Cricetulus griseus: one gene and its partner. The protein of the gene in region 1 interacts with the protein of each later gene in a pairwise test. Links are inferred from orthologs where the notes say so. Each region holds a gene or a part of one and is shown in the gene's direction. Other genes may lie near its edges. The genes, in order: Rnf40 and Ncbp1.

Evidence for each region.
Region 2: the proteins of Rnf40 (region 1) and Ncbp1 interact in binary tests that used the Homo sapiens proteins (3 or more experiments, as listed by UniProt). The two-hybrid records come from large-scale screens. The link is inferred for Cricetulus griseus from reciprocal best matches to the Homo sapiens genes RNF40 and NCBP1.

Annotation. Positions count from the first base shown.
Region 1 is NC_048596.1:73,161,900-73,176,601, reverse strand, and holds the start of Rnf40 (E3 ubiquitin-protein ligase BRE1B), read left to right. Parts: upstream 1-7,127; 5' UTR 7,128-7,348; coding exon 7,349-7,480; intron 7,481-7,914; coding exon 7,915-8,082; intron 8,083-8,156; coding exon 8,157-8,298; intron 8,299-9,762; coding exon 9,763-9,969; intron 9,970-10,499; coding exon 10,500-10,621; intron 10,622-10,719; coding exon 10,720-10,866; intron 10,867-10,949; coding exon 10,950-11,024; intron 11,025-11,721; coding exon 11,722-11,841; intron 11,842-11,924; coding exon 11,925-12,104; intron 12,105-14,421; coding exon 14,422-14,557; intron 14,558-14,702. Other genes in the region: Phkg2 (phosphorylase b kinase gamma catalytic chain, liver/testis isoform), read left to right, coding at 436-526, 610-763, 835-960, 1,053-1,346; Ccdc189 (coiled-coil domain-containing protein 189), read right to left, coding at 1,738-1,916, 3,123-3,209, 3,287-3,347, 3,439-3,555, 3,717-3,787, 4,576-4,745, 5,094-5,159, 5,692-5,723 and 1 more.
Region 2 is NC_048595.1:97,283,384-97,298,141, reverse strand, and holds the start of Ncbp1 (nuclear cap-binding protein subunit 1), read left to right. Parts: upstream 1-6,032; 5' UTR 6,033-6,258; coding exon 6,259-6,292; intron 6,293-14,758. Other genes in the region: Tstd2 (thiosulfate sulfurtransferase/rhodanese-like domain-containing protein 2), read right to left, coding at 3,191-3,355. UniProt on the Homo sapiens protein: Component of the cap-binding complex (CBC), which binds cotranscriptionally to the 5'-cap of pre-mRNAs and is involved in various processes such as pre-mRNA splicing, translation regulation, nonsense-mediated mRNA decay, RNA-mediated gene silencing (RNAi) by microRNAs (miRNAs) and mRNA export.

The DNA of each region.
Region 1 (14,702 bases):
TGTTCTCCTTTAGTTGAATGGTGGTGCCACTCATCAGACTGGAGCCTATGAAAGAGAGGGTAGGCTTGGCAGAAAGTAATGCAGAAAAAACTTTGAATTTTGCTTTTCACACGTATTAAGTATCTAATAATGTAACAAATTGTATTGATGAATGAGTAGCTTGGCTTGGCTTGGCTTGAAGGTAGAGGAGGTAAGTGATGTAGTTGAGTGACCTTGAAGTCATCCCCAAACTGGGTATTCCTAGGAAGGCCTCTGTGAGTTTTAGTGGGAATGTAAGTTGGTTAGCTAGGGACATGGCCTTGCTCTAAGGCTTGGCAGGAAACACAGGAGCAGAAAGAGAACACTGTTTCTCTTGTAAAATTGAGATGCTTCTGGTGTTTAGGGTTCTGGAGGGGGCTAGTGACATTCCCTCAGTCTTCTCCCCTCTCTCCCCAGAGTTGTGTGGGACTCCAGGGTATCTAGCACCAGAGATCCTTAAGTGCTCCATGGATGAAACCCACCCAGGCTACGGCAAGGAAGTCGACCTGTAAGTTTGTGTCATCCCTTCCCCTCTGTGTGTCATGTCCTTGATTGTTACCTAGGCCAGTCTAACCACAGTCTCATTCTCAGCTGGGCCTGTGGAGTGATCTTGTTCACGCTTCTGGCTGGCTCACCACCATTCTGGCACAGACGCCAAATCCTGATGCTACGCATGATCATGGAAGGCCAATACCAGTTTAGCTCACCAGAGTGGGATGATCGTTCAAGCACCGTCAAAGATCTGGTGAGTAGGGGCCATGAGGAGACACTAGGGAAGACCCAAGTTCTGACTCTCATACTGTGAAGTTTCTTTAGATTTCAAAGCTGCTGCAGGTGGATCCTGAGGAACGCTTAACAGCTGAGCAAGCTCTACAGCACCCCTTCTTTGAGCGCTGTGAAGGTAGCCAATCCTGGAACCTCACACCTCGACAGAAGTTCCGGGTAAGCCTGAGCATGGCAGGGTCTGCACCCAGGCCTTGCCCTTTCCCATTTGCTGGATGCTTTATTGGGGCTAATATTGCCCCTTTTCCCAGGTGGCAGTGTGGACAATACTGGCTGCTGGACGAGTGGCATTAAGCACTCACCGTTTACGGCCACTAACCAAGAATTCACTGTTGAGAGACCCCTATGCACTGCGGCCAGTTAGGCGCCTAATTGATAATTGTGCCTTCCGGCTCTATGGGCATTGGGTGAAGAAGGGTGAACAACAGAACCGGGCAGCCCTCTTCCAGCACCAGCCTCCTAGGTCTTTCCCTATTATGGCCACCGAAGAAGAAGGGGACTCCAACACTATCACAGAGGATGAGGCTGCACTGGTGCTAGCCTAGGACTTCTTCCCTGGCAAGCCAGAAAGCAAGACTCTCCAGGAGGAGATTTTTTTTTTTTTCTTTTTTTAAATCATTCCAGCCTGTTGGGACTCAGAGCTTAGCCCTGCCTTGCCAAGCCTACCACTGATAATACTACTCACCACAGAAACCAGCCCTCTACCTCTACCAATCCTGGACTTGGAGATCAGGGCTGAGATGGAAGGGAACATCTCCCAATGAGCCTGGCCTTGTCATCGCTGTCTGTGCTGCGTCTGAAATAAAACTGCTACAAGCCTGGGAGAGCCAGTGCCCAAGTCTGCTATCTAGTTGCACAGGGAAGCACAGAAGGTGCTCATGAAGGTGGGGGGTGGGATGCTCTGGCCCAGGTCTTTATTGGAGAAGATGCTGGGGATCACTTGGTCTTGGTCTTGCCTTTGCTGGGAGGTGGCTGATAGGGCCGCTCCAAGGCCGCCAGTTTGCTGCTCAGCCTTTCCTCGCTCTCCTTGAGCCGCTCCTCCACCAGCTGCTGGAGCTGCCTCAGCTCCTTGCTCAGCTGGGTCTTGATATAGGTTTGGAGGATGCACACCTCACCTACAGGGAGAGAGGAGGGTAGGAGAGGTGTTATCTGGGGATGAGCTATGCAAAGTGTTGCTTCAGTTCAGCCATGTTTCTGAGACAGACGGCTGGGCAGAATGGGCAAAGTACAGATTCTTACTGTACTTTAGTCTGACATTGGGCAGCCTGTCCATCGGCTTCTTCATGACAAACATGGATGGGAACACTTCCTTGACTGTAGGATGGAGTTAATATGCACAGCACGTTTAAAACCGGGCATCCTGGGACCTAGCTTACCAGATCTGTACTTGGTATTGTCAACCACCCCCATAGCAACACCCCAGCAGTTACACTATAATCTGGACTTTTGCATAAGGAATTACTTAGAGAGGGGACATGGGGCTGGAGAAATGGTACAGTGGTTAAAGGGGCTGACTGCTCTTCCAGAGAATCTGTCAGCACCCACATGGCAGCTCATAACCATCTGTAACTCCAGTTCCAAGGGCATTCAGACCTCTTCTGACCTCGAGTACTACACACGTGTAGTACACAGATATACAGGTAAGCAAAATTCTAAAACACATAAAATAAAAAATAAATCTCAAAAGAAATTTTAGGGGACAGCAGAACTAAAACTTAAGTCATGAGCTTGGTATGGTGGAGCACCTGTACAACCCCATCACTCAGGAGGTTAGACAGGGGGATCTTGAGTTCAAAGCCAGCCTGGGCTGCACAGCAAGACCTTGTTTCAAAAAATAAAAAATAAAATTAAAACAAGGGCAGGAGGGATGGTTCAGCGGTAAAGAGCTTGCTATGCAAACCTGACAACCTGAGTTCAATCCGAGGAACCCACATAAAGATGGAATGAGAACGGACTCCCAAAGTCCTCTGATCTGCCACACACACATTCTCATTCTGTGTCTCTCTAATAAAACAAAACTGGAGAGATGGCTCAGCAGTGAAGAGGCAGAGGCAGGAGGATCTCTAGGAGTTTGAGTCCAGCATAGTCTACATAGCAAGTTCCAGAACAGGCAGGACTAAATAGACACTGTCTCAAACAAAGGGGGTGGGCTGAGAATATACAGTTTAGTGGTAAATGCTTATGCAAATGGCTGTAATTTCATTCCCCAGTATTACAAAACCAAATTGTGGGGGTAGGGGAATGAAGATTCAAATAGACCCAAACCCAAATTTGACCTTAGCACAGAGTCCCAGGGCACCTTAACCCCTCAGAGTACTCACTTGGCTGTTGCTCTGGCTGGGTCACAGTTTCTGGTTCTTCCTCCTGTGGAGTAGCTGCTTGTTCTGCCAACACCTCGCCTTCTTTCTCTGCATGCCAGAAGCAGGAAGAGGCCTTAGTCCCTGCACTGCCCAGTCCTAGCCTGTCCCATCTGTACCCATCTTACCTTCTGGCCAGGGCTTGGGTGGCTGTAGCCCTATGTAAGTCAAAGATAGGTCCAGCCGAACCTGGGGAGACACGGGAAGAGGAGGCTGAGAGAATAGCACTGCCCATAAGAGAAGGGGAGACAGGTGGCCATTCACTTCCTGTACACAGTACCTGGGGTGTGAAGACGTATTTGTAGAGCTTGAAGTGGCGGAAGTAGGTGTTGATCACATAGTCTGCCAATGCCAGCAGCTGTTCCTCTTTAAAGAGATCGATGCTAAAAGGGGGCCGCTGTGATGGCAATTATAAGTTAAGTGCCCTGGCAGCCTCCAGAAGTCTACCTAGCTCTTCCTCCAAAAGCATGGTATCTAGAAGCAGGCAGACCCCAGGGGGCCTTCAGAGGAAGAGGAGGAGAGTAGTGGGAGAGAACAGGAATTTGGGCTAGATCTTACCCTGACTCCATGGCAAAAGAGAACGCTGGTAAAGTAGCGGTAGCATTCCTCCACATTGCCCAAAGGGGTAGCTGGAAGAAGACAAGGTGAAGCAGTCAGGTCCCTCCTACTCTCCTCTCATCCTTTGACCCCACTCCTTGTAGAGCATGGAATTCAGAAGTGGACAGATCTAGGAGTAAGGCCTGGCTTGTTCTGTCAATTCACTCAACAAATACTAAGTTCTCATTATATACGTTTCTAGGCACTGAACAAGACAGGCAAGGTCCTTCCCTCTGGTTTGGTTTTATTTCTGGGACAGTGTTTCATTTAGTAGTTTAGGCTAGTCTGAAACTCAATGTGTAACTCAAGTTGGCTTCATACTAATGGCATTGCTCCTGCCTCAGCCTCCTGAGCACTGGGTTTTCAGGCTTGAGCCCCCCATACTTGACACCAGGAAGCTACTTTGTTTGTGAGACAGAGTCTGCTTTTGCCCAGGATGGCCTTGTAATTGAGGATGACCTTGAACTTCTGATTCTCCTGCCTCTACTTCCTAAGTGCTAAGATTATAGGTGTGTGCCACCCCACTGATTCATACAGTGCTGGAACTGAGCTCAGGGTTTTGCACATGCTAGGGAAGCACTCTAACTGGGCTACATCCCCAGCCCCCTATTTATATATTTCCCATAACATCATTACATGTGTTTCCTTTTTTGATAAAGAAACATCTCAAAGGTGATAAAATGTGGTACAATAATACTAGTTAATGGTGGAACAAAAATCCCAGATTGTAGTCTCCCTATTTCTGCTTCCCACAGTCACTTGTCCTAGCCCAGCCTCCTCTCCTGGGGCTCAAAGCTTTTGGTGGCAGCCTCCCTCTCACCAACACAGGCCTTGTGAAGATCTTGGAGCAAGGCACAAGCTGCTGATGTCTGCTCTAGTGAAAAGCCCTGCTGGCGGCAGAAGATGAGTGCATGGGAAAAGAGGTCCAAGATAATGGCATCCCGTAGGCTCTGCTCAGGACAGCCAAGTTCCAAGAGCTCAGCCAGAACCCTTGGGAGGGAGAGGAAGGAATGAGTGACAACAGGAGCTCCCCCCCCTCACCCTCACCTTAGGATTTATTTTTATTATACCGGTGTGGGTATTTTGCCTGCATGTGTGTTTGTCTACCACGTGTTTCTCTGGTGCCCAGGGAGGCTAGAAGAGGGTGTTGGGTCCTTGGGAACTGGAGTTACAGACCATGTGGGAGCTGGGAACCAAACTTGGGTCCTTTGGAAGAGCAGCCAATGCTCTTAACCACAAGCCTCCTCTCATCTCCATCACCTGACAATCTATGCTTTAGCCTGCCATCCCTCATGGCTCCCCTCCCGAGAACTCTGTCTGTCCCAACTCAGACCATACTCTCTCATCTCTTCCACAGTGACTGCCTTCTCCAGTCTGTGCATAGAATGGATGTCCAGGTATTTCCTGTCAGGAAAAGATGAGACAAATCGTTGATAGCTCATATAACTTCCTTGATGGGACTGTGACTTCTAGGGCATTGGATTGGGAATCAGGAGTTGAGGCTAGTCTAACTTACTAAGCACCCTTTGGAAAGTCATTTTTTGGGCCTCCCACTATAAATGAGGAAATTCATGGTCTAGGATCTAGACTCTTGATCTAGACCCTTAGGAGACATTTTATTTATAAATCCAATGATTAGAAACCTTGAGTTCTTGTCTTGTTGTGTGTGACCATGGTGAAGTCCCCCAGGGCCTTGGCATCAATCTGCACAGTGTTCCATCATGCTTACATGCTTGGTACTTGTCTGTTTTCTCACACTGCCACTTTGGACTGAGCCTGGAACACTGGTGACTTGGTCACCTTGAGCATCTCTCAGCTCAGTCTCTTCATCTGTAAAATTGGGGTGCCCTGGCTGCTGGACAAGACTGTTGGGGAGACCTTAAAGGAATAATACAAATGAGAAGTGTAATTTTTCCCCAGGGCTCTCCACACTCACCACATACAGATCCGGGGCTGGGGTAGCGGTGGCTGTGGAGAGAAAACAGATCACGGCAAGAAGAGCTATTACAATATGTAGAGCCTAGTCCCTGGTCCGTCGTGAATGTCTAGCGGGTCTCAGAATGCTATAATTTTATGTATAATAAAGGGATCGAGCCTGGCGTTGGTGGCACACGCCTTTAATCCCAGCACTTGAGAGGCAGAGGCAGAAGGATCTCTGTGAGTTCGAGACCAGCCTGGTCTACAAGAGCTAGTTCCAGGACAGCCTCCAAAGCCACACAGAAACCCTGTCTCGAACCCCCCCGCAAAAAAAATAAAGGGGGCGAGGCCGGGTTTTACTAGCCTATTAACATGGCAACTCCAGAAATGCCTCGGATGCTAGCAAAAGTAATGACTGTCAGTGCCTTGCGGGGAAATCTTTTATAAATATTCATTAGTGGACAGCTCTGTCCGGCTCTCACCGGGAACAAGTTGGCTCCAGGATCTTCAGCCACTCCCACAGAGGTGGAGGCCTCGGCGGTGGACTCGGTCTGCACGTCTGTTTCTGTCCTTATTACCGATCCACCTTCCGACCTGGCACAACTCTCAAGATCCTGCTCCAGTTGGGGAAGCTGTTCAAATTCCGACTGCATCTTAACTCCCAGGACCTGGCTGGATTTGGGGCTGATCATCTTCGCTCTTCTGAGGCACAGTCAAGTGCTCTCTCGCCCAGGCTCTGGGACGCCCAGCTCTGTCACCGCAATGCCCGGACCTGCCCCTTCTAGTGGTTCTCACAAGCGGTGAAGCCGGTGGCAGCCAATCCGCAGGGGGCGTCTTCCCAGTCCAGTCTCCCCGGTGACCGTTGTTAAGCAAAGTAGAAAGTACAAGCACTCGCCAATCATTGAGAAGTTAGAGCGCATGCGTAACAAGTTGCACGTGCCTCTTCAAAGTTGCTTATTGGGGGTCCCTCTTTTTAAAGATTTAATTAAAAAGAAACTCTGTGTGTGTGTGTGTGTGTGTGTGTGTGTGTGTGTGTGTGTGTGTGTGTGTGTGTGTGTGTGTGTGTGTGTGTGCGTGTGTGTACGCGCGCGCGCGCAAGCACGTTCGCGGGAGTCCACGGAGGCCAGAAGAGAGCACGTACCACCTGAGTCTGAAGTTGCAGGCGATCGTGAACCGGGTTTCCTGAATAGCAGCAGGAAAGGCTCCAACAGCAGATCGGCCTCTGTATTCCTATACTGCAAAGTGCAACTGCGGGCTCAGTAACTATGGGAACGGCCTACTGGCCAATCACTGAGAGATACACAGTCGATCGCGAAAAAAACTCAAGGACTCAAGAGGCGGAACCTAGAGCCACCAATAGAAACAGGAAATAAGTTTCGCCACATCCGGAGCTGCTCTGACGCCTGCGCTGTGCGTCTGGCGGCCGGTGACGTCCGGTGAAGTCCAAGATGGTGGCGCTCGGCTGACCCTACCGTGGGTGCGGACCCTGGGCCAGCGGGGGCGGGGTCCGGCAGGTGTGTCCCCTGGGACGCTCGGGGCTGCGGAGCCCCGGACGCGTCCGTAGTCTGCCCTCGGTTTTCTGCAGGTGACGGAAGTGCCGCCTCCGCCCGCCCGCCCGCCCGCTCGCCGCCCGCCGGCCCGGGAGAGCCCCGAGCTGCCCAGCAGCCACCGCCGCTATGTCTGGCCTCAGCAACAAGCGCGCCGCCGGCGACGGGGGCTCAGGACCCCCAGAGAAGAAGCTGAACCGCGAGGAGAAGACCACGACCACTCTGATAGAGCCCATTCGTCTCGGGGGCATCTCTTCCACGGTGGGTGGGCTTTTGCTAAACTCCTGCTTGACCTCAGCCCAAAGCGCTCAGAATCTCGTGTGTGCACGTGTGTATATACGCAAAACGGGGGTGCGAGTCGGGTGGGGTGGGTGCGGTGGGCGTGCCGTGGGCGTGCCACGGCGCGCGTGTGATCAGAGGACAACTTTGTGGAGTCCTTCTCTCCTTCTACTCACACATAAATTTCTTCTCGTAAGTCGTGCGATCAGTCAAAAACTTTAGTTAGAAAAGAAGTAGAAACAGAATATGAAGCTCTCACGACCAAGATATTTTCTCTGTCTGTGTCTGAGTCTTTTTAAATTTCACTGGTTGCTATCCTTAGTATGCCTCTCCGCTTTCAATCTAGTTGTCCTCCCCTGTCCCTGGGATGGTTCCAGTCCCTGCCTGACACTTCTCTGCCTCTTCCCCCCTGGTAGGAGGAGATGGATTCCAAGGTACTGCAGTTCAAGAACAAGAAGCTGGCCGAGCGGCTGGAGCAGCGGCAAGCTTGTGAGGACGAGCTGCGGGAGAGAATTGAGAAACTGGAAAAGAGGCAGGCCACCGACGACGCCACGCTCCTCATCGTCAACCGCTACTGGGCCCAGGTGAATGCCCGAAGATCGCCCTGCTGGGAAGGCACCGAGGCTTTCATAACCTCTTTGGTTCTTTCTTCTTTTAGCTGGATGAGACTGTGGAAGCCCTTCTCCGATGTCATGAGCGCCAGAGGGAGCTGTCCTCGGGAACTGAGGCACCTGGGTGCCAGGAGGGGCTCACTCGTGATGGGATCCCTCGGACAGACCCAGGGACCTCAGATCTGAGGGGTAGGACAAGAGCCCTGGGGACCTTAATTTCTGAAAAAAGTCTTGAGGTGGCTTTGGTGTTGGGCTGCTGAAATGCACCCTCCCACACAGCTGTTTAAAAGTTGATTTCATACCCGATGTAGTGGTGCACACCTTTAATCCCAGCACTTAGGAGGCAGAAGCTGGTGGCTCTCTTCTGGAGTTCAAGGCCAGCCATGGCTACACAGCTACACAGAGAGACTGTCTCAAAGGCAATTTAAAAAACACAATTAAATGGTGAGCAAGAACAAAATTTTGGAATCAAACTGAGTTTTCATAATCCCAGCATTCTGGAAGTAGAAGCAGGTGGATTTCTATTGTTTCATTTATTTATTATTTATTTATTTATGCTTTTTTTTCGAGGGAGGGTCTATGTCACCCTGGCTGTCCTGGAATTCGATCTTTAGACAGGCTGGCCTCAAACTCAGAGATCCTCCTGCCTCTGCCTCCTGAGTGCTGGGATTAAAGGCGAGCGCCACCAAAACCAGGCCTCTGTTATTAAAAAACAAAACCAAACTGGATACTAGTCTTTGGCATTCTTTTTTTTTTTTTAAGATTTATTTATTTATTATGTATATAGTGTTCTGCCTGTATGTATGCTTGCACACCAGAAAAGGCACCAGATCTCATTACAGATGGTTGTGAGCCACCATGTGGTTGCTGAGAATTGAACTCAGGACCTCTGGAAAAACAGCCAGTGCTCTTAACCTCTGAGCCATCTCTCTAGCCCATCTTTGGCATTCTTAAACACATCACAGATATAAAAGTAAAAAAGAAAACAAAATGAGTACTCAATTTTGGAATTATGCTAGACATAGAGGGATCAGAGGTAAGCAAGAAGAAATATATTGTTGCCATAAAGGAAACTATAAACCATAGTAAGTAAAAAGTAATTGGCATTGTTATAAAGGAACAAATACGGCAGGAGGCTGGGTTCTACTTTAGATTGAGAGGGCAGAGGAGCCTTCTGAAGATGTGATGTCGCTGATCCTTAAGAAAATTAACTTGCCAGGTGGTGGTGGTGGTGGTGGCGGCGGCGGCGGCGGCGGCGGTGCACGCCTTTAATCCCAGCACTCAGGAGTTAGAGGCAGGTGGATCTCTGAGTTCGAGGCCAGCCTGGTCTACAGCGTGAAGGAAAAAAAAAGGAGGAAATAAAACTGTTGTCAGGCATGGTAGTGCAAGTCTTTTATCTCAGCACTGGGGCCCCCAAGGCAGCTGGATCTCAGTGTGTTTGGGTGAGGCCAGGGCTATATAATAAGACCCCATTCAGAAAAGAAAATTACTTATTTAAATTTTAGGAGTCTCCCTGTCAAGAAGGGACAAGAGTACTCTCCAGGTTGTATTAATTAGGTTAGCCATTGAGATTAAAGCACTCATTGTGGAACTTGGTACAGTTTGATGGTCATTGCTGCCTTTATTCCTATGGGGGTTATCTGTCCCTTCCAGAACCCCTGCCAATGCAGTTTCGAACCCCTCTCAGTGAGCCAGCATTGGCTTTTGTGGTGGCACTGGGTGCCAGCAGCAGTGAGGAAGTGGAGCTGCAGCTGCAGGGACGGATGGAATTCTCCAAGGCTGCTGTGTCTCGGGTGGTGGAGGCCTCGGACCGCCTACAGCGTCAGGTGGAAGAACTCTGTCAGCGAGTATACAGCCGAGGTTAGTTCTCTAGACCCTCTAGAGAAGTCCATCCCCACCTGCATCCTTAGGAGTCCCCCTCCCAATCTCAGTAATTCTTGGATGTCAGAGTTCCCAGTGAATAGTCAGCCTCATTCTTGTTGGAACAACTTAGTTCAAGATGAGATCTCAGCTTTGATTTCTGAAATGGGACTCCAGAGGGATGGCTGGCTGGAGGAACTGTTGGTCCTGGTAGGGTCACACCCCTGCAGTGAGAGGGCTCTCTGGGACACTGTGCAAACCTTAGAGGCAGCTATTGTCCCACTAAACTGAGAGGCAAGTACCCAGGCTTTTTGTGGCAACAGCCTTCTTTCTCCCATCCTTAGTTCTCCCTACCTAGTATCAGCTGTTTGGATAAATGGTTCCTTGTCTGAGCTAGCTTCATCTCCTGGGTTTGTCATAAGCAATTGGTGAGACAGCTAGTTCACACACTCAGCATGTAAACTTCAGGATTAGTTAATGCTTGCTTGGTTACCCAGGGCTTGACTCTCATCTGGGCTCTGCATTCCTAGGGGACAGTGAGGCCCCTGGGGAGGTAGCACGGGTACGCACCCGGGAGCTGGGCAGAGAGAACCGTCGACTACAGGACTTGGCCACTCAGCTACAAGAGAAGCACCACCGCATCTCACTGGAGGTGGGAATCAGATTCTTGGATGCAGTTAGAACTGGAGCAGGGTTTGGGTTTGCCATCTAAGGATCTTAGGAAGCCAAGCCACTTTCCATTGCCTGCAGTACTCTGAGCTCCAAGATAAAGTGACATCAACAGAGACCAAGGTCCTGGAGATGGAGACGACAGTGGAGGACCTACAGTGGGACATTGAGAAGCTTCGCAAGCGAGAACAGAAGCTCAATAAGCACTTGGCAGAGGCCTTGGAGCAGGTACAGGAGTGGATGGAGCCCAGTTGAGTACCTGGGGCCCTACCTTCTGCCCTTCACATCCATTGTGTCTGTTTTCTCTGCAGCTCAACTCTGGCTACTATGTGTCTGGCAGTTCCTCGGGCTTCCAGGGAGGCCAGATCACACTTAGCATGCAGAAGGTGAGCAGCAGTTCCCTCGGGTCCTTCATTGCAGGGCAACCATCTGTATCTGAGTCTGTAGCTGACAGTGTTGCGCCTTCTCCTTTCATTCATTTATATACTTACTAAATAATTCCAGAACTTAAGTGCCAGGAACTAGGCAGATTAATGAGGATGAATGAAAACCGGAGCTTTAGTTGACTTTATCTTGAGCACCTCTCTCTCTCCTTAATGTTGTACTTGAGTCTGTTTTTGCAATCCTTTTATGTTTTCTTTGTTTTGAGGCAGGGTCTCATGACATAGGCCAAGTTGGCCTTAAACTTGCTGTGTAGCTGAGGGTGACTGATTCTTCTACTTTTGTGTCCCAAGTGCTGAGATTATAGGCTTTGAACCACCATACAGCTTCAAATCAAATTGTCAATAAACTCCCAACTGTTCCAATAAAGCTTCTATGGAAGTTAGGTTCTATTCGGAGGACATACAAGTAATAAGCACTACATAAGTTGGTAATTAGTAGAATAAAGAAAAAGTACAAGGAAGATATTCCCATGCAGGACTGATTTTTCTCCCATTTCCTGAGAGCCAAAGGAAAACCCTTGGTTTGGAGTTTTCTGTCAGTGCTCTTGCAGGGGGAGCTTGGGAGGACTGGATGGAGGACTCTTAGGGGAGCACACTGCCCATCCTGGTCTTGCCTACCACAGCCCCTTCCACTCCTTAGTTTGAGATGTTGAATGCAGAGCTGGAAGAAAACCAGGAATTGGCCAATAGCCGCATGGCAGAACTAGAGAAGCTTCAGGCTGAGCTTCAGGGGGCTGTTCGGACCAACGAGCGTCTCAAGGTAGGCTCTGGTTGAGCTGAAAGGGCCTCCACTAAGCCTCAGATCCTGGTGCTAATAAGACCCTTTTGGACATCTTCACCCAGGTGGCCCTGCGGAGCCTTCCTGAGGAGGTAGTTCGTGAGACCGGGGAATACCGCATGCTACAGGCCCAGTTTTCACTGCTCTACAATGAGTCTTTGCAAGTGAAGACCCAACTAGATGAGGCCCGGGGGCTGCTGCTGGCCTCCAAGAACTCCCACTTGAGACACATTGAGCATATGGAGGTATGGTCTTGGAATGAGTTGGGGCTGGGGGTGAAAACTAGACCTTTAGAGTTGACATTCCTGAGCTTCCATGGGTCCTTGTGTACCTGCTAAGAGTCCTTTGGGCATAGATTCTTCCGTGGCCAGAGGTAAGACTGGGATGTGTTTTTCTTCCAATTTTAATCATTAACTCTATTATTTTAAAAGTATCATTATAACCACCATAAATGGTTTATCTGTAAGACCTGGGCTAAGAGAACACTAAAATCACAAGCACGGTGAGATGAAATGGGACTTGATCCATTGCTGCCAAAGAGTTACTTTTTCTTCTTCTTTTTATTTTTTTATTTTATTTTTTTCAATACAGAGTTTCTCTGTGTAGCCCTGAATAGCCTGGAACTCGCTCTATAGACCAGGCTGGCCTTGAACTCACAGAGATCCACCTGCCCTGCCCTCCCTCCACCATGCCAGATTTAAAGGCATGCACCACCATCCAGCTGAGTTACTGTTTCTTTAATAATCAGATGTAAAGTACCAGAGTAGAAAACAAGCCCATTAAGATACAAACTGGTTTAATGACTATAGAAAGGAGCTGGTGGTCAGGCAGTGGTGGCGCACGCCTTTAATCCCAGCACTGGGGAGGTAGAGGCAGGTGGATCTCTGAGTTCAAGGCCATCCTGGTTTACGAAGCTACACAGAGAAACCCTGTCTTGAACCACCACCCCTCCCCCCCAAAAAAAAAAAAAAAACGCAGCTGGTTGTTCTGGTAGCAAGTAGTGTGCATTAGAGCAGTGTCCGTGCTGGAAACCGTTTTCTGCTTGGGTATTAATTGGATGCAGACCACACCCATAGAAAGAGCTCCTTCTAAACCCCTTCAGCACCTCTCCCTCCAGAAGTCACAGAGTTAAGAATGACTCAGGCATTTCCTGGTAATGGCATTTTACAATTATTTGTTTCCAGCCAATTTTAATATTTTCTCTAAGAGAAGCATTGAAAACACAAGGAAAGCCTTCAGAGGCCAGTTTCTACTGCGCATTTTCCAGGTAGCAAAACAGCAACTTTATATGGCAATGGAAATAAATTTTAGTTTATTCCTGTTAATTTTTAATCATATTAACATTAAAAGAAACTGAGCTGGATTTCCAAAAAGAAATATTAGTGCCAAATATTTTAGGACTTGTATTAGTTCTACATGTATTAGTTCTTATTTAAAAAACAATAAAAAGACTAAACCAAAAAAAAAAAAACTAATGATGTTATATATGTATGTATGTATTATTTAAAGTTTTCATGCATGTGGGTATTTGCCTGTTTGTTCATCTGTGTACCACTTGTGTGCCCCTGAGGCCCAAAAAGAGCATGAGATCCCCTGGAACTGGAGTTACAGACGGTTAAATCACCATGTGGGTCCTGGGAATTGAGCCTGGGTCCTCTGTAAGAGCAGCCAGTGCTCTTAACAACTGAGTGATCTCCCCAGTGCTGCTGCCTCCTTTTTAAATTTTATTTTTAGATATAAGTGTTTTGCTTGAGGGCGTTGGTAGCACACGCCTTTAATCCCAGCACTCAGGAGGCAGAGGCAGGCAGATCTCTGTGAGTTCGAGGCCAGCCTGGTCTACAGATCGAGTGCCAGGATAGGCTCCAAAGCTACACAGAGAAACCCTGTCTCAAAAAACCCAAAAATAAATAAACAAATAAATAAATAAGTGTTTTGCTTGTATATATGCATGTGCAGCACAGTTTGCCTAGTGCCTACAGAGACCAGAAGAGGGTGTTGCATCCCCTGGGACTAGAGATACAGAGGGTTGTGAGCAGTTATATGGGTTGGAAATCAAACACAGGTCCTTTGGAAGAGCAACCAGTGTTCTTAACTGCTGAGCCATCTCTCTATCAAGGTGTCAGAATGTAGGCTTGGGTAGCCTGGGACTCACTATATAGACCAGGTTGGCCTCCAGTGTAAGTCATCCACAAGCCCTTGCTTCCTGAGTGCTGGGATTAAAGGCATACACCATGATGCTTGGTGTATTTATCTATCTTACGTTCGATTACTGGAGTCCTTTTTTTCTGGAGAGATAGAAGATTAAGTGACCAGTGCTAGCTTTATTTCTTTCTTTTTTCTTTTTGAGACAAGGTTTCTCTGTGTATCTCTGGCTGTCCTGGAACTCACCTTGTAGACCAGGTTGGCCTTGAATTCAGCTTGTGCCTCCCAAGTTTTGGGATTAAAGGCATGTGCCACCTCCGTCTGCCAGCTTTATTTCTTTGTAAGCAAAAATTAGGTCTTTTCATTAGTATGGGGGTAGGATTCTCATACGGTTGTGTCTTTAAATGCCTCGACCCACAGAGTGATGAATTGGGGCTGCAGAAGAAACTGCGCACAGAAGTGATCCAGTTGGAGGATACCCTGGCCCAGGTACGAAAGGAGTATGAGATGCTGCGCATTGAGTTTGAACAGAACCTTGCGGCCAACGAGCAGGCTGGTACGTGGTGGGATTGGGTAGAGATAAGCCTAGAAGGGTGCTGGAACCTTGCGGCTGCTTATCTAGATTTAATGAGGAGCTTTTCTCCGAGTCTCCATTGGCCACAGAAAACAGGCACTACACTCACTACCTGTGTCACTCCCAG
Region 2 (14,758 bases), on another chromosome or scaffold:
TTTCTACAAGACTAATGAGGAAGAACACAGAGCAAAGGTATCAACACATATGTAACAAAAGCAAAAGGTGGTGCACACCTAAGTCCCAGAAGAAGCAAAAGGATCTCTGTGAGTTCAAGGCCAGCCTGAGTTCCAGGCCAGCCAAGGCTGCAAAGTGAGACTGCCTCCAAAAATAAATAAATACATAAATAAATAAACATTTTCAAGTCTCTTCTTTCACATCCTATATCCAATCCAGCAACTCTACTTCCAAATACACACAAAGCTAACCATTTCTCCCTTGGCTACCACTCCATAGATCCAAGCCACCATCACTCTTCCCTGGATTGTTATAATAGTTTCTTAGCCTCCTCTTTTCCATACTCATCACCATTTGTTTTCCATTCAACTGAAATGTTTCTTTTAAAATCTAGATCAAGCCAGGCATGTGACATGTGGATCTCTGAGTTCAAGGCCAGCCTGGTCTACAGAGCAAGTTCTAGGATAGCCAGGGTTACACAGAGAAACATTGTCTTGAAACAACAACAAACAAACAAAAAATACGAACAAAAACCTAGAACAGGCGGGCATTGGTGGCACACTCCTTTAATCCCAGCACTTGGGAGGCAGAGGCAGGCGGATCTCTGTGAGTTTGAGGCCAGCCTGGTCTCCAGAGCAAGTGTCAGGATAGGCTCCAAAGATACACAGAGAAACCCTGTCTTGAAAAACCAAAAACCAAAAACCAAAACAAACAAACAAAAAACTAGAACAGATATCATTCCACTGCTCAAAATTCCCCAAAGGCTCTCCTCCTATCCTCTAGGAAGTCCCCATAACCTAGTTCCTTCCACTGTTCCTATCCCATCCCATTTCCACTTCTTGGCTTTGGCTCAAACCTAGCATGCAGGCATCTGTAATACCTTCAGACTTTGCACTGGATTTTCCTCCCTCCAGTGTCTGTACGGTTTGCCATTCTTCACATTTTCAAATCTCACCTATTGACAAGGACTTTTTCTGGTGAGAGAACAAGCTAAAATTTCTTTAAACTTCTCTAACTTTTCCCTATGAAACTTATATCATTTAATATATTAAATAGTTATTTATAATTGTATTACTATAGTACTAGTTTGTGGTTATCTATTAAAGTTCCTATTACATAGTTATTACATAATTATTACCTATATATAAAGTCTTCTATAAGATGACTTGAGTCTGCCATAGATACCTAGCCGGGTGTTGGTGGCGCACGCCTTTAATTCTAGCACTCGGGAGGCAGAGGCAGGTGGATCTCTGTGAGTTCGAGGCCAGCCTGGTCTCCCAAGGCTGGATAGGCTCCAAAGCTACATAGAGAAACCCTGTCTCAAAAAAAAAAAAAAAAAAGCCAAAAAAAGCATCAAGTGTGAAACTATACATGCATGTCAATGTATGCTCTCAACTACAAAGCAGGTGAAAGGCCTAAGTCTTATTGGCATTTAGTTTTTATTGTCAATATTTTAAATATTGCTCCCCCCACCAAAGGCAATATAAATACTTCATTTTTATTTGTATATTTTTTTTAGTACTAAGACTAAATTTTTTCCTACATTTTCTGATTTGTTAGTTTATATGTATTGTCTGTTTTCCTTTTTAAAAATTTTAAACTTTGTATTATAATTGGGGAGAGGGGCACATGGCATGGTGCACACTTGAATGTCAGAGAACACCTCTATAGAGTCAATCCTCTCCCTCCAGCTCTACATGGATTGTGGGGTGGTGTTAGAGGTGAATTGCATCACTGATGAACCTTCCTCAATTTATGCTAGACTGGCTCTGGAGTATGCAGGGCGGGGCACAAGTAGTCTGAAATGACATTCTAGGGCCTTTTTAGTGTTTCCTTTAGTTGATCCCTCATGACAAGCAAGAAGAAAAGAAGATGGCACTGCTATTTCCTTCCCAACCACTGATGAACTAAATGGGAAAAGGGGAAACCTTACAGTGAGGAAACCTAGCAGACAATTTCCACCAATATCCAAAATGAAAGGATCTGTAACAGGAACATCAGCACGTGGGGCACCTGAAACAATGTGTTAACATGAACATGGCATTTCTTCCAGGATAGTCTTCCTAAAGAAGCAAACTCTGAATCTCATAGAAGGAAATATCAGTCAAAACCAAAATGAGGGTCCATCTACAAAACAACTTATTTGTAATTTTCAAGAGTGTGATAGCTATAACTTGAGAGAAAAATTCTAGTGTTCTAGTTTAAAGACCAAGTTGGACATGGTGGTACATGCCTGTAACCCTAGCACTCGGACTACTTGGAAGGTAGGTATGAGTTCAAGGTCAGCATTGGTTACATAGTCAAAAAGGAAGGACTAAGGTGTGGCAACCAAACCAAGGGAGTGAGCACTGTAACTGGCTCAGTTTCTGTGTAACCAGGGGAGCCTCCTGCATTTGAGACAAGTGGTGAATGTGAATGGAATCTCTGGACAAGGCCAGTATGTGTATCATTTATAAAGTTCTCACTCTTCTGTAAGTCTGAAATTATTGCAAAATAATACTGGTAAAGGACCTTTGTAACCTCTGAATTTCATTTTCAAGAAAATCTGTATGGGACTGACTGAAGGTGCAGCAGGGAAATTACAGAGATATTTATTCCACACTGACATAGAGTCAAAAAGAGGCTCCCTAAGAGGACCACAGGCTGAAGGTGAGAAAACTAGGTCTCAGCTACCCCTCCTTAGTCAGCCAATGGTTTCAACAACAAAATACATGGCACTGATGAAGGGCATCACCCCCACTTCTTTATAGTGCAGGCACAGTGTTCTCAGCAGCTGCAGCATCCTGCGATGCTCTGTTCTTTCTTCAAAGCACTGAGCTACCTAGATGAGACCAAGCTTTTTCCCCACCAGCAACAGGCTCAGTAACAGCCTCACTAGAAGCCAGCTGACCTATTACCTGTCAGTCCTCCTTATACTACGGTTCTGAGCTCCTAGGATTCTTCTACACCTGAGTAAGGAAAGAAATTCATCCTTCTTGACCAGGACCTGGAATCCTAAAACATTCCACCATAACTACATTCCAAGACTACATGCTGCTAGAGACTAGACTAAACAATAATCTATTTCTATATGTACTTTACTATCTATATATATATATTTACTAACTAACTAACTAACTAACTATATATATATACACATACACGATCATGAAATCACCGACAGCAATTTACCTTTTTTTTTGCAAATGAGTATTTCTTCTTTATATTGCCATCTAACTCTGCTTTGAGACTGTTGCTGGGGTTAGTAAGATTTGATTCTTTTAAATCCAGATCAGAAAACTTTAAAACGCAGGTCTCCAGGCTATCTCCTTCATCTGGTAAAGTGGAAGAAGGCATCTGGATTGATCAGTGGGGCAGATTTCTTTCAGTATCTTCCTTTCAAGTATCTTCTGAGACGTAAGAGAGAAAATGCAATGCTCAACTTTTAGGTACTTGTGGAAGCAAATCAATCGTGCAAATTAGCAGTGGCCACATAACCCAAGCTATCCATTCATAGCTCACTTAATAGTATTTATGTGACAACTATGCTTGGCCAAATACCCTTCTACACACTGGGAATAGAGCAGTAAATGCAACAGGAAAAAGTCTATTTTACAATCGAGTGGGAAAGATACGCCAATAAACTGATTTTTTAAATTTAATATTTTAAAGAAAAATTAGCAGAGGAAGGAGGCAGGTGAAAGGGCTCTTTATACACAAAGGGGTAGGAAAAACCTTTCTGAGATACCATTTTTCAAAGAAACATGAATTAGGAAGCAAGCCATGTTAAAAATGCTAGGTGGATAATAGAAGGAAAGCACTATATACATCCCAAATCAACCAACGCAAGTGATACTATGGCTTTGTTTCTTTTGTTCTCAAATCTCAGAGCCAAAATTTCAAAATTGCTACTGTGGCCAAATCTCACCAAAATAGATACAACTATAACTAATGAACTGTTTTCCTTTTAGTTACATTTTATTTACTTTGTGTCTACTTATGCCTAGACTCCTGCCAGGATATGGACCTGGAGGAAAGGGGACAACTTTCAGGAGTCAGTTCTCTCCTTCCACATTTCACAGGGTCCACTGATCAAAATCATGTCCACAGGCTTGTGAATCAGGTGCTTACCTGCTGAGCCATCTTGACAACCTCTATTTTTTAAAATTCATTTTTCTGAGACTGAGTCTTGCTGCATAGTACAGGCTGGCCCTGAACCCCTAGTAATTTTGAATTTGAGATTCCCCTTACCTCTACTTCTAGAACACCATGCCACCATACCAGACCCTAAGCTTTGCCTTCCTTTTAAAGTCAGCAGTCCACTCTGAACCGAATTCCCCAGTGCAAGGCTCCAGCATTTCTTGCCTGAATTACTGATGCTTAACTACCTTCTTGGAAGACTTTTCCAAAGTCTGAACCTACTCAGATAATCTGTCCCTGCCTCTAATCCCAACTTGTACCACTCTTCCTTTGCTATTAGGTCAGACCACAATGGCTGTGGTCATTTCTGAAGGGGTCCTTCAGGACTTCAGCTCCAAAAGAGCAGAGGCTTCCTTTTGCTCACCTGCAGCTTCAGTATCCTGAACACTGTACAGAAAGCAACAAATGTTAACTAATACAATATAGTGCTTGCTGAATGAAATAAAGCAAGAGTTTAAGAGTCACAGAAATGCCGGGCGTTGGTGGCACACGCCTTTAATCCCAGCACCCAGGAGGCAGAGGCAGGAGGATCTCTGTGAGTTCGAGGCCAGCCTGGTCTCCAGAGCGAGTGCCAGGATAGATTCCAAAGCTACACAGAGAAACCCTGTCTCAAAAAAACAAAAACAAAACAAAACAAAACAAAAAGCGTCACAGAAATAATTCTGTAGGCACCTGATGGTCAGCCGTGTAGATTTCAGAGCAGAGATCATCAGGCAAAGGAAACAGTTAAGGCTTGATTCCTAAAATGTAAACAAGCTGAACTTATCAGAAGAACATAGTGGTTCACACACAGCGATGGGGACAGAATCTAAGAAGTCATAGTTTGGAGTTTGCAATGGAAATTCTAGGAGAGTTGGAGGGCATATGATCAAGATGGATGGATAGATAAAAAGAACAGATGAAAGATATTCTCTAACAAGAAGAAAGGGCCGGAAAGATGGCTCAGTGGTTAAGAGCACTTACTGCTCTTGCACAGGACCCACGCATGATTCTGGCCCCACACAACCGCCCTGCACCCACATGGAAGCTCACAAATGTATGAAACTCCAGTTCCCGGGGATCTGATGCCCTCTTCTGGCCTCCATGGGCTGCTGCACAGTCGGGCACAAACACATAAAACAGTCATATTTTTAAAGTCCGTGAAGAGTTTTAAACATGGTAGTAGGTTTCATTAATGGACTTGCTCTCAAAGTACAGCGGGCAGTGTCTGTGAAGGATCTAATGACTCCTCCCTAAATTCATGGATTAAGCAAGCGACAGAAACGGCCTTTTACTGAAACCGGTAAGACTGAACGAAGAGTTTCGGCCAGACCATAGACAAGGCAGTTTGGTGTCCATCAAAGACATCAGGGCAGAGGGCGTCCACATACTGCACACGTGCAAAGGGACAGAAGAACAATTGGAACCAAATCGATCAATTATCCGCTGCCTCCTCATCCGTCAGCTGGGAGAGGTAGGCGGCAAGAGAACCATGAGCAGGCTGGGCCGTGCGGGCTTGACTTCCCCACCGCTGGGGGGTGCCCTCCCTACCACCCCAGGTCTCCCGAGGCACCTACGGCCGGGCGGCGAGGGTGAGAACACATACCCGCCGGTCCTAGGCCTTTCCTGGGTCTCCCTTCACCAACTTGGCGCCGCTCCCCGCCCTCGAGCCCACGCCCCCCGGCGCGCGCGTGCGCAGAAAGTCCCTAGGACGTCACCTCGCTCCGGAAGTCTCCAAAGCCGTCGGCGCAGGGGCCGCCGGGAAAACACCGCGAGTTCCCAGTGCAAAGCTGAGGCGGGATCTCCGGGGCCGGGACTATTTAGCTCGCCATCTGGAAGGCCCTAGAGTAGAAGGCGGGAGGAGGCGCCTGTGTGCGGACCTGCAGACGCCGGCCTTTCGCCGCGGAGCCCACCCGGTGCTTCTCCGCTGGCGCTTCCGGCAGGCGTCGTGTGCGAGTGCGCCTGCGCGCCGGCCAGTCCGCGCGCCTCGCCGCTGACCGCGCACCGGCCGGCCGGCAGTCCGACGGTTCTGGTGTTGCAGGAGACTCGCTGCTCAACTCGGCTGCGCACCCGCGAGCAGCATGTCGCGGAGGCGGCACAGCTACGAGAACGATGGTAAGTGCCCCCGGCGTGGCCGCGGCCCCGGCGTGAGAACGGGGGCCGGGCTGCTTTGGTCCTCGGGTCTCTAGGGAACGGATAGGCAGCCCTTTCTCCCCGGGAGGGTTCTGGGAGCCCGGGAAAAAGCGGCTGGAGCGGCTCGGGTGTGGCTAGTAGCTTCAGGAAAGCGACAGCGGCCCCGCTGCCCCCAACTCCTTCAGTCATGGGGAAGGAAGGCCTGGTGAGCCCCGTGGGCAAACCCGACCTGGTCTCCGCCGACACTTAAGACTTGATCACTCATTCCTGAGCGTGGAAATGCACGAGTGTCTGATCTTGCCCCTTAGGATCAGTGACGGTTATCTAGTGGACCAGTGTTTTCATGTTATCCCTCCAGGGTGCACCTGGAAAGGACCCTGGGAAGACAGGAAAAGAACAAAGCTATGGCAGGGGACGGATGAATTGCAATCTGAGCCCTACTCTTCTACCAGCCACCCATTGATTTCCTACTTTTAAGCTTCAGGGAAAGAATTTTGCGTCTTACCATCACCCCAGAGTCACTAATAAACACTTGCTGTTCCGTAGGATTGGCTTTAAGCCTGTTCCTCTGTATAAGAAAATGCAGGCAAACTAACCTGAACAGTCTAGTAGTTCTCATGTCGGTTTGATAGTCGCCAGCAATGAGGTTGTTGTGTTGCCATCATAAAAAAACAAACAAACAAACAAAAAAAACAAGCTCAATGCTGCACCATTACTGTCCTTCAAGGACTCAGGCACATAGGAGAGTAAAACTTGGAGCTCTTGATATTATATTGAATTACGATTGAGTGTGAATGGTTAAAACAAGAAAGACTTTTAGAACCTAAGGGTTTATGTTCAAAGCTAGACATCTGCTATTTATTGTGTCAGGGTCACATGATTTCCTAAGTGTATATACCTGAGTGTATAATGTGGAGTACTATTAAGACTTTTGGTTTTTATGAGGGTTAAATGTGATACTGTGCTCAAGATTAGTTCATGATGTTTATCAACTTTTAATGTCTCAGAGACACCAACACCCAGCTTGTTGTTTTTAACATCGTGGTTTCTTGTGAATTGCATATACAGAACACAGGAAGTAATTTTTTCTCTGCTTTGTATTTGATTAGCGTACTAATCTGCTTTGGATTAGAGAATTTGTCCTTGGCCTTTATCTCTTCTTCTTCTGATTCTCTTTGCTCATCTTGGACTTCTTTCCATTCTTTCCCTCACTTCCAGGGTACCCCTAAAGTGAGGGGGAAATGTTACTGGAGAGCCAACTGGAGAATTAGAGTATAAATATATAGAAAACCTCTTGTTTTGGTTTAGGAGGCTTTCGTAAGTTTTTGGGTGTAGTTGGCTTTTTTACCCCAGCTAGCAGCTGAATCATTTTCCCAGTTGGGTCTGACTACAGAAACCTTAGAATAAATAGGACAAAATGATGTAAAATTAAGCTTTACTCAATCAAAATTCAGTGTAGCAAATCATTGAGTAGTAGAAAGGCTGTTTACAGCTCCTCCAATAGTACACATATAGAAATATACATTATTAAAGTTTAATAGAGTTCAGTGATCTAAATAAAAAATGTGATGCCTTTTAGTGAAGTATCTACAATTATTTATTTATTTATTTATTTATTTATTTATTTTGGTTTTTCCGGACAGAGTTTCTCTGTGGCTTTGGAGGGTGTCCTGGAACTAGCTCTTGTAGTCCAGGCTGGTTTCAAAATCACAGAGATCCGCCTGCCTCTGCCTCCCGAGTGCTGGGATTAAAGGCGTGCGCCACCACCACCCAGCTAAAAGGAGGAAAGGAAGCATATTTATTTTACATCTATGTATTCTTTTGTGTTTTGTTTTGAGACAGAGTTTCTCTGTATTGCTTTGGAGGTTATCCTGGAACTCTCTCTGTAGACCAGGCTGTCCTCGAACTCACAGAGATCTGCCTGCCTCTGCCTCCCGAGTGATGAGATTAACAGTGTGAGCCACCAACGCCCAGCTGGGTGTGATGAGATTAACAGTGTGAGCCACCAACGCCCAGCTGGGTGGCTGTTTTTAAAGGTGGCTAGAGATTTTAAAGATATCAAAGTTAAACAGATCTGAGGATTTCTGGGTTATTGTCAGCTCTACTCTGACTTTCCTTATACTGGGCTGGGTAGCCCTGGCCTTCTGCATCTTCATTCTCTCTCTTGAATCTGGCAGTCTGGTCATTTCAAAGGAAAAGCCCTCAGTACCAAACATGTGTACTTTCCCCCATGTTATTCCCTAAATGATACAGTGTCACAGCATACATAAATCATGAGAAAATACCAGCACCACTTTTGTTTTTTTGGTTTGGTTTGGTTTGGTTTGGTTTGGTTTGGTTTTTCGAGACTGGGTTTCTCTGTGTAGCTTTGGAGCCTATCCTGGCACTTGCTCTAGAGACCAGGCTGGCCTCGAACTCACAGAGATCCGCCTGCCTCTGCCTCACGAGTGCTGGGATTAAAGGCGTGCGCCACCACCACCCAGCTAAAAGGAGGAAAGGAAGCATATTTATTTTACATCTATGTATTCTTTTTTGTTTTATTTTGAGACAGAGTTTCTCTGTATTGCTTTGGAGGTTGTCCTGGAACTTTCTCTGTAGACCAGGCTGTCCTCGAACTCACAGAGATCTGCCTGCCTCTGCCTCCCGAGTGATGAGATTAACAGTGTGAGCCACCAACGCCCAGCTGGGTGTGATGAGATTAACAGTGTGAGCCACCAACGCCCAGCTGGGTGGCTGTTTTTAAAGGTGGTTAGAGATTTTAAAGAAATCAAAGTTAAACAGATCTGAGGATTTCTGGGTTATTGTCAGCTCTACTCTGACTTTCCTTATACTGGGCTGGGTAGCCCTGGCCTTCTGCATCTTCATTCTCTCTCTTGAATCTGGCAGTCTGGTCATTTCAAAGGAAAAGCCCTCAGTACCAAACATGTGTACTTTCCCCCATGTTATTCCCTAAATGATACAGTGTCACAGCATACATAAATCATGAGAAAATACCAGCACCACTTTTGTTTTTTTGGTTTGGTTTGGTTTGGTTTGGTTTGGTTTGGTTTGGTTTGGTTTGGTTTGGTTTTTCGAGACTGGGTTTCTCTGTGTAGCTATGGAGCCTATCCTGGCACTTGCTCTAGAGACCAGGCTGGCCTCGAACTCACAGAGATCCGCCTGCCTCTGCCTCACGAGTGCTGGGATTAAAGGCGTGTGCCACCACCACTCGGCCTATCAGCACCACTTTTGACATCCTCAAGTTTTGGTGTCTGAGTTGGAGTCTCATGGATACCAAGGACAACTATACAATATAATCAGGACTTGCTAAGAATTTCCTAACTACTTGCAGTACAGTAGCAGACAGTATAACAGTGGAGGCTCCCTTCCATATATCAATACAAAACCCAGTGTAGTGTAGTTTATCATATGATCACAGGATTGTGGAGAATAAAGTGAATTAAAGGGTACAGGGACCAAAGTGAGAGAGAAGGGTAAGGCCTCCCTGCAGATGTCCTGTGACTTGAGTGATGTAAGGAACAAGCCATATGGATGTTTGAGAAAACAGAGGTTGAAAGGAAACCATGAGTATAATGTTAAGCTTTCTTTTTCTTTCTTTCTTAAGATTAGAGCATTTCTGACATGTTCAGAGAACAGTAAGAAGATCATTGTTGGTAGAATAGAGAAAATAGGGTTAGAAGTTATGAGAGATAAAACCAGAGAGTTTAGCCAGGTAGTGGTGCATGCCTTTAATCCCAGCACTTGAGAGGCAGAGGCAGATGGATCTCTGTGAGTTCAAGGCCAGCCTGGTCTACAGAGTGAGTTCCAGGGCAGGCTCCAAAGCTACAGAGAAACCTTGTCTCGAAAAATCAACAAAGAAAGACCAGAGAGTTTAGATGAGGCTCTTAACTTACTGGGCCATTTTAAACATTTCTGTTAGGACTATATCTTACTGGGGATTCATAGAGGTAGTAGTAGATAGCTAATCAATCAGTAAAGTTCCTGTAGTTTATTTAGAGAAACAGAAAGGACTATCCTAAATGGAAAGTACCAAATGTAGTTCAGTCTTAAACACTTTTGTTGTTTTTTGAGACAAGGTCTCTATGTGGCTGTCCTGGCTGTCTGGAACTATGTAGTCCAGGCTGTAACTACTGTGGTCTGGCTATATAGACCAGGTCGGGTGTACCTACCTTCCCCCCAAGGTGTGGGCCACCGTGTCTGGTAGTGATAGATAATGTCTCTGAACCTCTTCATTTACTGTTGGATATGTATTTTATCAGTGTTAAGTATACTATTTTTATGGTTAAAAGGACTTCTTCGTCAGAAGTCCAGAAAGCCTATTTAATCTAGGTCTTTATCTTTTAGACAGTGACTGATGTTTTTAAACTTAACTATAGAAAGAAAACTTGAAGAGAAGTGGAAGGTTTGTTATGCTGAAGGATAGTATACTTTGTTTCAGATTTTTTTGTTTTTGTTTTTCTTTTGTTTTGTTTTGTTTTTGTTGTTTTGTTTTGTTTTTTGAGACAGGGTTTTTCCCTGTGTAGTTTTGGAGGCTGTACTGGAACTAGCTTTTGTAGACCAGGCTGGTCTGGAACTCACAGAGATCCATCTATCTCTGCTTCCCGAGTGCTGGGACTAAAGGCGTGCACCACCACCACCCAGCCTGTTTCAGATATTTTTAATCAATTTAGATTTTTGTTTTAAATCTGTAGTCAAAGTATATTACTTTTCTTGGCTGAGTTTTATTTTTTCTTTCATGGTGTTGTTTTTTTGTCTACATTGTGGATCCAAATTACACATCTTATTCTCATAAGGGTATAGGAAATAGTACAATGTGTCCTTGTAATATTAGGTTCATCTTGCAGTGAGAAAATGATTTGGTGTCTGTGGGATTTTTTTGTTTTGTTCTGTTGTTTGTTCCACCACCACCACCACCCGGTTTCCCTGTATAGCCCTGGCTGTCTGGAACTAGCTGCATAGACCAAACTGGCTTCAAACTCAAGAGAGATCTGCCTGCCTCTGCCTCCAGAGTGCCAGGACTAAAGGCGAGGGCCACCATTCCAGGCTGTTATTTGTTGTCTTAAGAGCCCTCAGAGTGGTTGTTAACAAAGGTCTCTTTTCTGTACTAGATAAGCGCAGAAAAGATAAAGCAATATGTTACTTTAACATATATTGAAAAACTTACATTAGCCCTGTTTTAAAGCCTGTTTTGGATTATGGTACCACCATAGACTTGTTTTTCTTTTATTGTTCAGGGTATGAAAATGTTCAACCAATTCCCCAAAGAGTGTCTAAACTATCTATTAGGGCAGTGGTTCTCAGCCTTAAAGCTTCAACCCTTAATATAGCTTCTCATGTGGTGACACCAACCATAGGATTATTTCGTTGCTACTTCATATCTGTAATTTTGCTGCTGTTATGAATCGTAATATAAATATCTGATATGCAGGATATCTGATATTTGACCCCTATGAAGGGTCGTTAAACCCCGAAGAGGTTTGGACTCACAGGTTGATAACCTCTGGCACTTTACCCACCGAGCCACCCCCATTTCCCAAACAGTATGGATGTTGTATATATGCACATGGGTGTGTGTGCCATGTAAAGGCCATTGGGTGCCCTCCTCTATCACCCTCTGTCTTACCAGACTGAAGCTGTGACTTAACATTTTGATTGGCCAGCGAACCCCAACAATCCTCATGTCTCTGCCTCCCATAGTATTGTAGTGGGAGGTACCTGCATGGCTGTATTTGCTTTTTTTTTTAAGACAGGGTGTTCTAGTTAGGATTACGATTGCTGTGATGAAATGCCATGACCAAAACAACTTGGGGAAGAAAGGGTTTATTTCAGCTTATACTTCTAGGTAATAGTCCATCATTGAGAGAAGTTAGGCCAGGAACCTGGAAGCAGGAGCTGATGCAGAGGCCATGGAGAAGTGCTGCTTACTGGTTTGCTCAGCCTGCTTTTTTGGGGGCGCGGAGGGGAGCAGGGTCTCTAGATAGCTCTGGCTGTCCTGGAACTCACTATGGAGACCAAGCTGATTTCAAACTCAAGAGATCCATCTCCCTCTCCCATTCAAGTGTTAGGATTAAAGGTGTGCTCTACCATATCTGGCTCAACCTGCTTTCTTATAAAACCCAGGACTACCAACCAGCCCAGGGGTGGCACCACTTGTAATGGACAGGTCCCTCCACTGTCAGTCACTAATTTAAAAAATGTTCTGCCGGCTTGTCTACAGCCCAGTCTTGTGGAGACATATTCCCTATTGGGTTCCTTTCTCTGACATCACTAACCTGTGTCAAGTTGACAAAATTAGCCGGCACAATTGACTCCTTGTCAGTTTGACATACTTTACTTAAGACATAACCTTTCCCTTTTTTTTCATCTCCAGTATCTCAGATTAATAAATAACACAAATATAAAACATATTACAAACGTAAGAACCCAACAGTCTTTACCAATGCAAACACTTTGGATTTTAAAACTTTTAAAGTCTCAAAAATAAGTTGCTTTTTTATTCAAGAGGCAAGAACCAGAGCACATTCACAGTCTGAACAAAGCAAATCCAAACTCCCACCTATAAATAACTCTGTGTCCAATGTCTGGGATCCACTCATGATCTTCTGGGATCCTCCAAGGATCTTGGGTCTCTTCTCTTGCTTCACTCTCTGCAGCACACACAGCTTGTCTCTTAAGCTCTGGCAGGTTCCACTCCATCCGTGCAACTGTCCTTGGTCATACCATGTTACTGGCCTCTCCAAAATGCTGGGGTCTTGTCTGCAACTGGGCTGCTCTTTCACCAATAGCCCTTTCCGGGGCTCTCTTCACAGTGCCAAGCCTCAGCTACTCTTCATGACCCCTTTGATCGTGGGCCTTCAACTGCTGTGGAGGCTGCACCTTCCTCAGTGGCTCACCTTAGGTTCTGAGCCTCAGCTGCTCAGGGATGGCACCATCCACAATGGGCTGGACCCTCTCCCATGATCACTAATTAAGAAAATGCCCTATAGACTTGCCTACAGCCAGATTTTATGGAGGTATTTTCTCAATTGGGGTTCCCTTCTCTTAAATGACTCTAGCCTGTGAATAGTTACATAAATTTAGCCAGCACAGGGACTCACTGATTTGCCCTGGCTGTCCTAGAACTGTAGGTAGACCAGTCTGGCCTCAAATTCAGTGATCCACCTGCCTCTGGCTCCCTAATGGTGGATTTAAAGACCACAATACCAGGCATATGTTAGCTTTTTGATGTGAATTCTAGGGATCAAACTTGGCCCTTCATGCTTGAGTAGCAAGTATTCTTATGCACCAAGCCATCTCTCCAGCCCCCCCCCCAAAGTATTTTTAATAAAGGTGCTGTATTCTGCTTCTGTGCTCTCACTCGGACTGTCTGCTGAGTTCAGTGTCTTATTACTGTCCATGGGTTCAGACTGTGATCGGTAGCACTCACATGTACCTTTCATACCCTCTCAAGTATCAGGTAAGAAGAGTGACTCTTCACATTCTAGTACTTTCAGTTTTCTCCAGATAAACCTTGGCTGGATAGCCACAGCAACACAGAAGTTAACAGTTCAGAGATATGACTATGTGCCTGTATTTTCTCATTGTCTTTAGAAAGTCTGCCTTGTCTCCCCAAAGCAGTGATTTCTGTGTGTCAGGCTTACAAGAGGACATGGAAGAAATGTTTGGAAGACAAAAATGGTTGCAAACTGGAACAATGTATAATTAGGAGGGCTTTGGGATGTGATAAAGGATTAGTATAGTAGATGGGCCAGAAGGAAGGAAAAAGTTTGAAAAGGTTTAGAAAAACAGCTGCTCTCATTCAGCTAGTTTTTCACTCTGTATTCTCTGACCCTCACCTAAAATCTGGTTCTGAATAATAATGAAGAACACTGTTGGTGCATTATGCATTCTGAAGCAGTTTCTTAGCATCAGCACTGTTAAGTTTAAAGTCATACTTTAAATAAAAAATTTCCAGCAGAGTCAACTTGTTTCTAAATCCTTATTTCAGCAGTTTCTGCAGTAATTTAGTTACATCATCAGTTTAACAAGTACGGTTGACACTATGAGGTTTAGGAACCAAAAACTGTGGGTCAGTAAGCAAGTTAAAAGAATGGAAGCAGCAGTACTCAGATTATGGGTGTTTGGTGTGTTGGTGCCCTTCAGTGTTTCCGAAGAAGTGGACATTGCTTACACAAATCTAACTGAAAAAATGCCTCCTGACATTATTCTTTATAGTGACCTTAATAACAGAGACAATGTGAGGCATTGGAAAGATGGCTCAGCAGTTAAGAGCACCAACTGTTCTTCTCAAGAACCTCTGTTTAATTCCCAACATTCACATTGTGTCTTACAGAAGTCCATAACTCCAGTTACAAGGCATATGAATCTCCCTTCGGGCCTCCACTGGCTCCTGACATACAAGTGGTACATAGTTATACATATAGCCCAAACATCTGTACATATAAAATA